Linked DNA regions of Xenopus tropicalis. The protein of the gene in region 1 interacts with the protein of each later gene in a biochemical or structural test. Links are inferred from orthologs where the notes say so. Each region holds a gene or a part of one and is shown on either strand. Other genes may lie near its edges.

Region 1 (3,894 bases):
TTATTGAGCCAGTGGGGGGCTGTTCGAGCCTCTTTTGAATCTGTGGGCCTGTGGGTGACCAGGCTGCACTGGCAGCTCTAATGTAACTAATTCCAGTAAGGATCCATTCTAGCCGAGTCAGCACTCCAGCCCTGTGCTTGCTGTAGGTAGGGCAAGCCAGAAGCAGTAATGTCAACAATGCTCATAGCAAGCAGCTGCACAGCAGGACGCACATTTGCACACCATGTGATTTATATGTAGTGTTTTCACACATAATGTACGTGCCCAACAAAGCAAAGACAATAAGACAATAACAAGGAGCATTGCCCCATCTCAGACTGCCGCCTTTCGCTTCCTTGTTGTGTCACTGGAAAAAACACTAAATTCTACCCAAATACTCAAAAATCTCATGAAGTGCATAATTAGAAGCTCCCGGGCCCCGCAGCGAAACAATTGTAGGGCCCCACACAACATAGAAATAAGACGTTCCGTAAACCAATACTTTGCTTTTCACTTGGCGTCATATTATAACGCTTACACCTCCGGGGCCCCAGCAGTCGCAGCATGTGCTTCCGCTATAGAGTTACGCCTCTGCCCCACATTTCTCTTACAAAACAAGGGAATGAATACGAAGACAGTAGAAAGTGGAACTAGCAGCGTCCTAAAGCGCCTTCGCCACCAACCCAAAGACCTCTACTGGCAACGTCATCGGGTGGGCGTTGTCGAAGGCCGGTCAACCTGTAAACCAATCACACTAAGCCACGCCCAGTCACAGAGTCTCCAGCTTGCCGATTGGCTGTGCTTTTGTGTGACGTTTAAGTCTCCCCCTTCGCCTCCCCGGCCTCGTTCGCCTGTCTGGGGTGAAAATAACGCAGCGAGAAATCGGCTCTGCGGACTGGAATGTCCCGGGGCTGGGATCGGAAGGGATGATGATGGCTAAAATGCTACCGGTGCGTCTATCGCACCCCAGCATCATGGTCAAGCAAGAGCCGGATGATGACTCAGACACGGACGAGCCCAACTTACTGCTTAAGAAGTCGGACAGCTCCGAGGCGCAGATCATCCACAGCGGCCACTTCATGGTGTCCTCCCCGCACAGCGAGCACCCGCCCAAGAAAGGATACGATTTCGACACCGTAAACGAACAGGCCTGCCAGACGTACAGCTTCGGCAAGACCAGCTCTTGTCACCTGTCCATAGACGCGTCTCTCACCAAGCTGCTGGAATGCATGACCCTGGCATACAGGTACCCATGTGCCTGCAGTGCTGCTGGGATCTTTTGGCCTTGGACTACAAATCCCAGGATCCCCCAGCCAACCTAAGGATGCTGGGACTTGTAACTCAGGTTGGAAGATCCCTGCAGTATTGTGAGATAAGACACCAAAAACTTGTATGCAATTATGCAGCTTGTACAACAAAGAGCACAGTATAGCAACACTGGCCTTTCTCCCAGGCAATACGTCATTTATACACGGCTTTACATCCAGTGACGTCATCAGTTGGGGCTTTTTAAAGCACAGCTGATGTGTTAGATTTGGTTTGGCAATGGTCAGGCCACAAGTAACATTAGATGGGCCCTGTTACTGCCAGCTGTGTGCTGTTGTGCTACTATTACCAGTCCCCCTTTTTCTCTAGGTACATATGAGTGCTCCTGTTGGTTTGTGCAGGTATGATGTGACCCAGAGCTAGGCTGGTACCCCATTGTCCAGTTAGGCAAAAAGTGTCATCAATGTGTTATCTGCCTACCAGTAACACCAATGGCACACAGGGTAAGTCCATACATTTTGCTGCCAAGATTCTCAGTGACAGTTACTTGATCCTTGTGTGGGTCTACGTAACTGCTATCAAAATCAATGAAGATGATCAGTTATGGGCATTATGTTACCTGTCCATGTAGCTGTTAAATGCTTGGGCAAAAAATACCCCAAATTGCTCAGTATGGCATCACTCCTTCCTGCACTACTACAGTTTGTGTAAAGTAGTTACTGTGTAGCTTTTGGGGCTGCCTTTCATGATGACATTGGGCTGTAAGGCACCAGTTTTTAGATCAGATTACAGATATGTTGTATATAATACAATCGGTTTAGTTCTTACAAATTGTAAAGTGTGTTGCACTATGTTAATAAATGATGTTGATGATTGGGAGGAGGATGATAAATGGGTCAAATGGCAATTATGGCTCTCTCCAAAACTATAGAATGAAGCACCTCTCATTTAATATGGCTTTTGTTTCCAAGAAAGTTTATTTGTAGGTGCTGGTTGGGCAGATAAAACTTAATATAGTATTGACTGACCCTTTTATGGTTAATGTCACACATAAAGATCAGCAGGCCAGTCCAAATTACTGCTTGATAATGATATTATTCTAGATCTAGGGTATCTGTAATATCCAGTGATAAAACAAAGTTGTGTGTTTTATCTGCAAGCAGGTAAGGAATGTAGGCAAAGCTGTCTCTTTGCAACCTGCATGAGCCTTCAAACAGCTGATTGACCTGTCACCTGCAAAGAGGTAATGGGATAAAAGTAACAAAATGTGCACCAATCTAGCCATCTGTAGCATGCAATCAGTAAACTGAGGTGGCCATACACAGGCAGATTTCAGCTGCTTGTTTCAGGTCCTTCAGACTGATTCGGCAGCTTATCTGCCCGTGTATGGGCACCCCCAATGGGCCTACCCGACCGATATCTGGTCTAAAATGGCCAGATCTTGATCATGCAGGTTTAATTTTCAATCAGATTGGGGACTACATTCAGGTTTGGACAGGGCTGGCAGGGTGCCGGGAAAAAACCCGATGGGCCTCGCTGGCCTAAACCCAATCCCTGCCATTGATCAGGTGGGCCCTGCACCTCCCAGTCTGACCCTGACTACATTGGCCCATTCACTGCACCTATGCCTTCTGTTGTAATTTGATTGTTTGGCCCTAGGGCCAGACAATCGAATTAGCCCAATATCGCCCACCTTAAGTGGGCATATCCGCTTGTTTGGTGACCGTGTGTATGGCCACCTATACTGGTTCCCTGTTTAAAAGCAAACATCTGATTGGTTGCCATGAATTACTAGATCTGGTGTAAAATGTGCTACTTTCATTACATTAAACCCTGGGTGTTTACTGGTGTACACTGGCCAATGACATAGCAGCTTAATTGCATTAACTATTGCTGTGACTTATTTACTAACACAAAAGCTAAACTGCACCTGTGCAGTAACCCATAGCATACTATACCATAGCATACTCAGGGATGTACTGGTGCTGATTTGGTTTTCTACCTTAATTATATTATTTGCTTTGGCAGCACTTGTTCTGAATTAGAAGCAATACCATCAGTTTCTGACTCTCCAATCAGCTGCCAGGTACCACTTATAGCTTACCTACAGCATCCTGGCACCAAATATTTGGCCTTCTTCCACAGATGAGTTGCAGTGTTTCAGTTGTTAGGGTAGAGAGATCCCCGTTGATTTGTACTTTTAGTTAACATATACAGTCATATGAAAAAGTTTGGGAACCCCACTTTCTTTGGAGTTTTGTTTATCATTGGCTGAGCTTTCAAAGTTGCAACTTCCTTTTAATATATATGCCTTATGGAAACAGTAGTATTTCAGCTGTGATATAAAGTTTATTGGATTAACAGAAAATATGCAATATGCATCATAACAAAATTAGACAGGGGCATAAATTTGGGCACCCCAACAGAAATATTACATCAGTACTTAGCTGAGCCTCTTTTTGCAAATGTAACAGCCTCTAGACGCCTCCTATTGCCTTTGATGAGTGTCTGGATTGCGGTATTTTTGACCCTTCGTCCATACAAAATCTCTGCAGTTCAGTTAAATTTGATGGCTGCCAAGCATGGACAGCCTGCTTCAAATCATCCCATAGACCAGGGGTGTCGAACTCAATCAGAGAAGGGGCCAAA
Region 2 (3,927 bases), on another chromosome or scaffold:
CTTGCTATACACACAATGTCCCACCCCTGACACCATCTTGCCTTGCTATACACACAGTCCCACCCCTGACCCCATCTTGCCTTGCTATACACACAATGTTCCACCCCTGACCCCATCTTGCCTTGCTATACACACAGTCCCACCCCTGACCCCATCTTGCCTTGCTATACACACAATGTTCCACCCCTGACCCCATCTTGCCTTGCTATACACACAGTCCCACCCCTGACACCATCTTGCCTTGCTATACACAATGTCCCACCCCTGACCCCATCTTGCCTTGCTATACACACAGTCCCACCCCTGACCCCATCTTGCCTTGCTATACACACAATTATAGTGCACTCCCTGTAAATAAGTATAGGAGGACCCAATGTTGTGCCCTGACTATTGCTCTGCGGGGCCCCCGGGGCCTGTAAAGGGTCCCCCCTTTCTAGCCATCTCATTCTACCAACAGGGTAACAAACTGCCTATCAGCTCAAAGCTTCTGGGGGTGCCGGGAGTTGTAATTCAATGAGCAAAGAGACGTAGGTAAAACATCCCTGAATGTAATGAAGTTCAATGCCAGAGGTGCAACCTACTCCCCTCCATTTATGGGATTCTGGAAGTTATAGTTCAGGCAGCCCCCCACACACAGGCAGGATTTTAGGTATTTAAAGGGTAAGTTAACCCCTCCTCAGCCAACCAAACTGCATCAGCCAGGCAGGGAGCTGGGATATGACAACCTCCCACCAAATCTCCTCTATATACAGGGATACCTGCCTCCCATGGCCCATCTACCTCCCTCTACACTCAGCACCTTAGAGCCCCCCAAACAACTCAGTAGCATCCTAAAGAGGAGATAGAGCTCAGTCTGAGGGGCTGCTCATTGACTCCCGAACCACCCTATTCCATTGCATGCTGGGTAATGTAGTTTATTCAAAGCGTAGTATCAGGCGACAGCTAAAACAAGAACTACATTACCCAGTATGCACTGGGGTTATTTACCAGGAAAAGGGAAGAGGCGGGGCAGGTAGGGCTGAGAAAGTTTTGCTGTGCGTGTAGTTTCAGGATATTATTAGTATTTTATTCGTTGGACTTTAACAACCCACCTAGTATGAAAACGAACAATATATGACTGGAAATGTACTATTTTGGCAGCCCTGGGATCCTCGGTAGTCGCACGTCACACTCTCGCGAGATTTGGAGGAAATTCTGGGGGAGCTGTCGGGAAGCAGCTGAGGGGCTGAGGGGCTGCGCTATAGGAAGGGGTTGTGGGGCGTTTAATCAGCGCTCCGGGACGACGATATCAGCAGCTCCGGGCGGGACGGCTGTCGGTTCTGTTGTGTGAGTTACCGACTGGAAGCGGAGCTCAATGTAAATAGGTCCGTGTGCGGGAACCTTCCATTTGGGGAAGTGCTGCCAAACTGACAGGGGAAAGCAGCTTGTAATGTAATCCCATCAGCATTGTACGGATAGGAGAGGGTTAATACGTTAAAGGGGAACTCCCCCTCCCAAATATTACTTTATACCCCCTGGTCTAATATCCATAGAATTCAATTCCCAGGCATTTATAGTGTGATCCCTTAATGCTTACAGCAAACATGTCTTATGCTCTAATAGCCTGTTTGTAACCCTTTGTATTCATCCTTCTCACTCTTCCTTCTAGCCTGATGTTCCCTATGTGATAATGTGAGGCCGGGTAAGTCTTTCATATACTTAATAACTGTCTTTTATTGGTTTTTATTTTATAATAAATGCTTACAGTTGTATCAAGGCTTGGATCCATTATCTGGAAACCCGATATCCAGAACGCTCCAAATTATGGAAAGCCTGTCTCCCATAGACTCTAAGATATAACTTAGATATAACTAAGATATAATTACCCCTTATTGGGGGCAGAACAGCCCTATTGGGTTTATTTCATGGTTAAATGATTCCCTTTTCTCTGTAATAATAAAACAGTACCTGTACTTGATCCCAACTAAGATATAATTACCCCTTATTGGGGGCAGAACAGCCCTATTGGGTTTATTTCATGGTTAAATGATTCCCTTTTCTCTGTAATAATAAAACAGTACCTGTACTTGATCCCAACTAAGATATAATTACCCCTTATTGGGGCAGAACAGCCCTATTGGGTTTATTTCATGGTTAAATGATTCCCTTTTCTCTGTAATAATAAAACAGTACCTGTACTTGATCCCAACTAAGATATAATTACCCCTTATTGGGGCAGAACAGCCCTATTGGGTTTATTTCATGGTTAAATGATTCCCTTTTCTCTGTAATAATAAAACAGTACCTGTACTTGATCCCAACTAAGATATAATTACCCCTTATTGGGGCAGAACAGCCCTATTGGGTTTATTTAATGGTTAAATGATTCCCTTTTCTCTGTAATAATAAAACAGTACCTGTACTTGATCCCAACTAAGATATAATTACCCCTTATTGGGGCAGAACAGCCCTATTGGGTTTATTTCATGGTTAAATGATTCCCTTTTCTCTGTAATAATAAAACAGTACCTGTACTTGATCCCAACTAAAATATAATTACCCCTTATTGGTATGAAGATCCAAATTATGGAAAGACCTCTTATCTGGAATACCCTTGGTCTCAAGCATTCTGGATAACCTGTATACCTGTAACTGTAAATATCAGGGAGACATTGCTTTTACCTGATCTGCATCATTATATTTATAAAACTCAGGTAAATTATATTAACTGTGTATATTATCTCCAAAATCAAACTGTTTAAACCCCAGGAAAGCGTAATGTGGTGGCTTTGGACTATGGTTTTGAAATACGGCTTTAAAGGGGAAGTTCACCTTTATGTTCACTTTTAGTATGTTAAATAATATTCTAAGCAACTTTTCATTTGGTCTTCATTATTTATTTGTTATAGTTTTTACAGCTTTCAAATTGGGGGTCACTGACCCCGGCAGCCAGAAAACTATTGCTCTGTGAGGCTCCAGTTTTATTATTATTGTTACTTTCATGACTTATTTTTCTAGGCCCCTCTCCTATTCATATACCTGTCCATCTTTCAAACCACTCCCTAAGGTAATTTGGACCCGAGCAACCGGATAGCTGCTGCAACTCCAAACTGGAGAGCTGCTGAACCAAAAGTGAAATAAAATAAATAAATAAAAGAAACAGGGGGGCCCATTTATAAACACTGGGCAAATTTGCTCCTAGCAACTGGTTAGTTACCCACAAACACACCTTCCTGTCTTTAAATCAGTCATCCCAGTGCTTGGTATAGAGGGTTAGCGCCCTCCTCTGTCTGAAAGCAGTAAATCTATCGGCACAACAAGAGCAATTCCAAGAGAGGCAGACCTGTTTTAAAACAACATTATTGGTTACCATGGGTTACTGCCCCTGGGCAAAGTAAGTGCTTTTTAGTACACGCGGGTGGGGTAATGTTTAATTTGGAAGTAGAAAGCGGCCTAATAAATGCATGACGTTTGGGCAATAATCCAATCTGTTGATACTGTAAGAACTGGATCACAACAGACTTGGCATGGGTGCATTCATATTAATTTAGTATATATGATTTTATCTTTTTGCAGTTCCTGTCATGGAGCAGAAGGGAAGTTTAGTGTCCAGAGCAAACAGCATTGGATCCACAAGTGCATCTTCAGTGCCCAATACAGGTAAATCCTAAAACTGTTTGCACATGATTAACCTCACCTTCCACCCATTGAGGGTTGCTCTATTTTATGTTTTTATTCAAGTACATTTCAGGCTTTAAGATTAAATATAAATTCTAAACTGTGAAAAATATTTTCCAAAAGTAGTACAGGTATGGACCATGTTACCAACAATGCCCTGGACCTGGGGTTTTGCAGATAAGGGGTCTTCCCGTAATTTGGATCTCCATACCTTACGTGTACTAAGAAATCATTTAAACATGAAATAAACCCAATAGGGCTGTTCTGCCC

What was found.
Region 2: the proteins of mlxip (region 1) and mlx form a complex in vitro, tested with the Homo sapiens proteins (2 studies listed by BioGRID, with this or other methods). The link is inferred for Xenopus tropicalis from reciprocal best matches to the Homo sapiens genes MLXIP and MLX.

Annotation. Positions count from the first base shown.
Region 1 is NC_030677.2:162,021,863-162,025,756, reverse strand, and holds the start of mlxip (MLX-interacting protein), read left to right. Parts: upstream 1-841; 5' UTR 842-908; coding exon 909-1,225; intron 1,226-3,894. UniProt on the Homo sapiens protein: Binds DNA as a heterodimer with MLX and activates transcription. Binds to the canonical E box sequence 5'-CACGTG-3'. Plays a role in transcriptional activation of glycolytic target genes. Involved in glucose-responsive gene regulation.
Region 2 is NC_030686.2:6,144,404-6,148,330, reverse strand, and holds the start of mlx (max-like protein X), read left to right. Parts: upstream 1-1,050; 5' UTR 1,051-1,326; exon of another isoform or gene 1,327-1,364; intron 1,365-1,648; 5' UTR 1,649-1,681; intron 1,682-3,555; 5' UTR 3,556-3,563; coding exon 3,564-3,639; intron 3,640-3,927. UniProt on the Homo sapiens protein: Transcription regulator. Forms a sequence-specific DNA-binding protein complex with MAD1, MAD4, MNT, WBSCR14 and MLXIP which recognizes the core sequence 5'-CACGTG-3'. The TCFL4-MAD1, TCFL4-MAD4, TCFL4-WBSCR14 complexes are transcriptional repressors.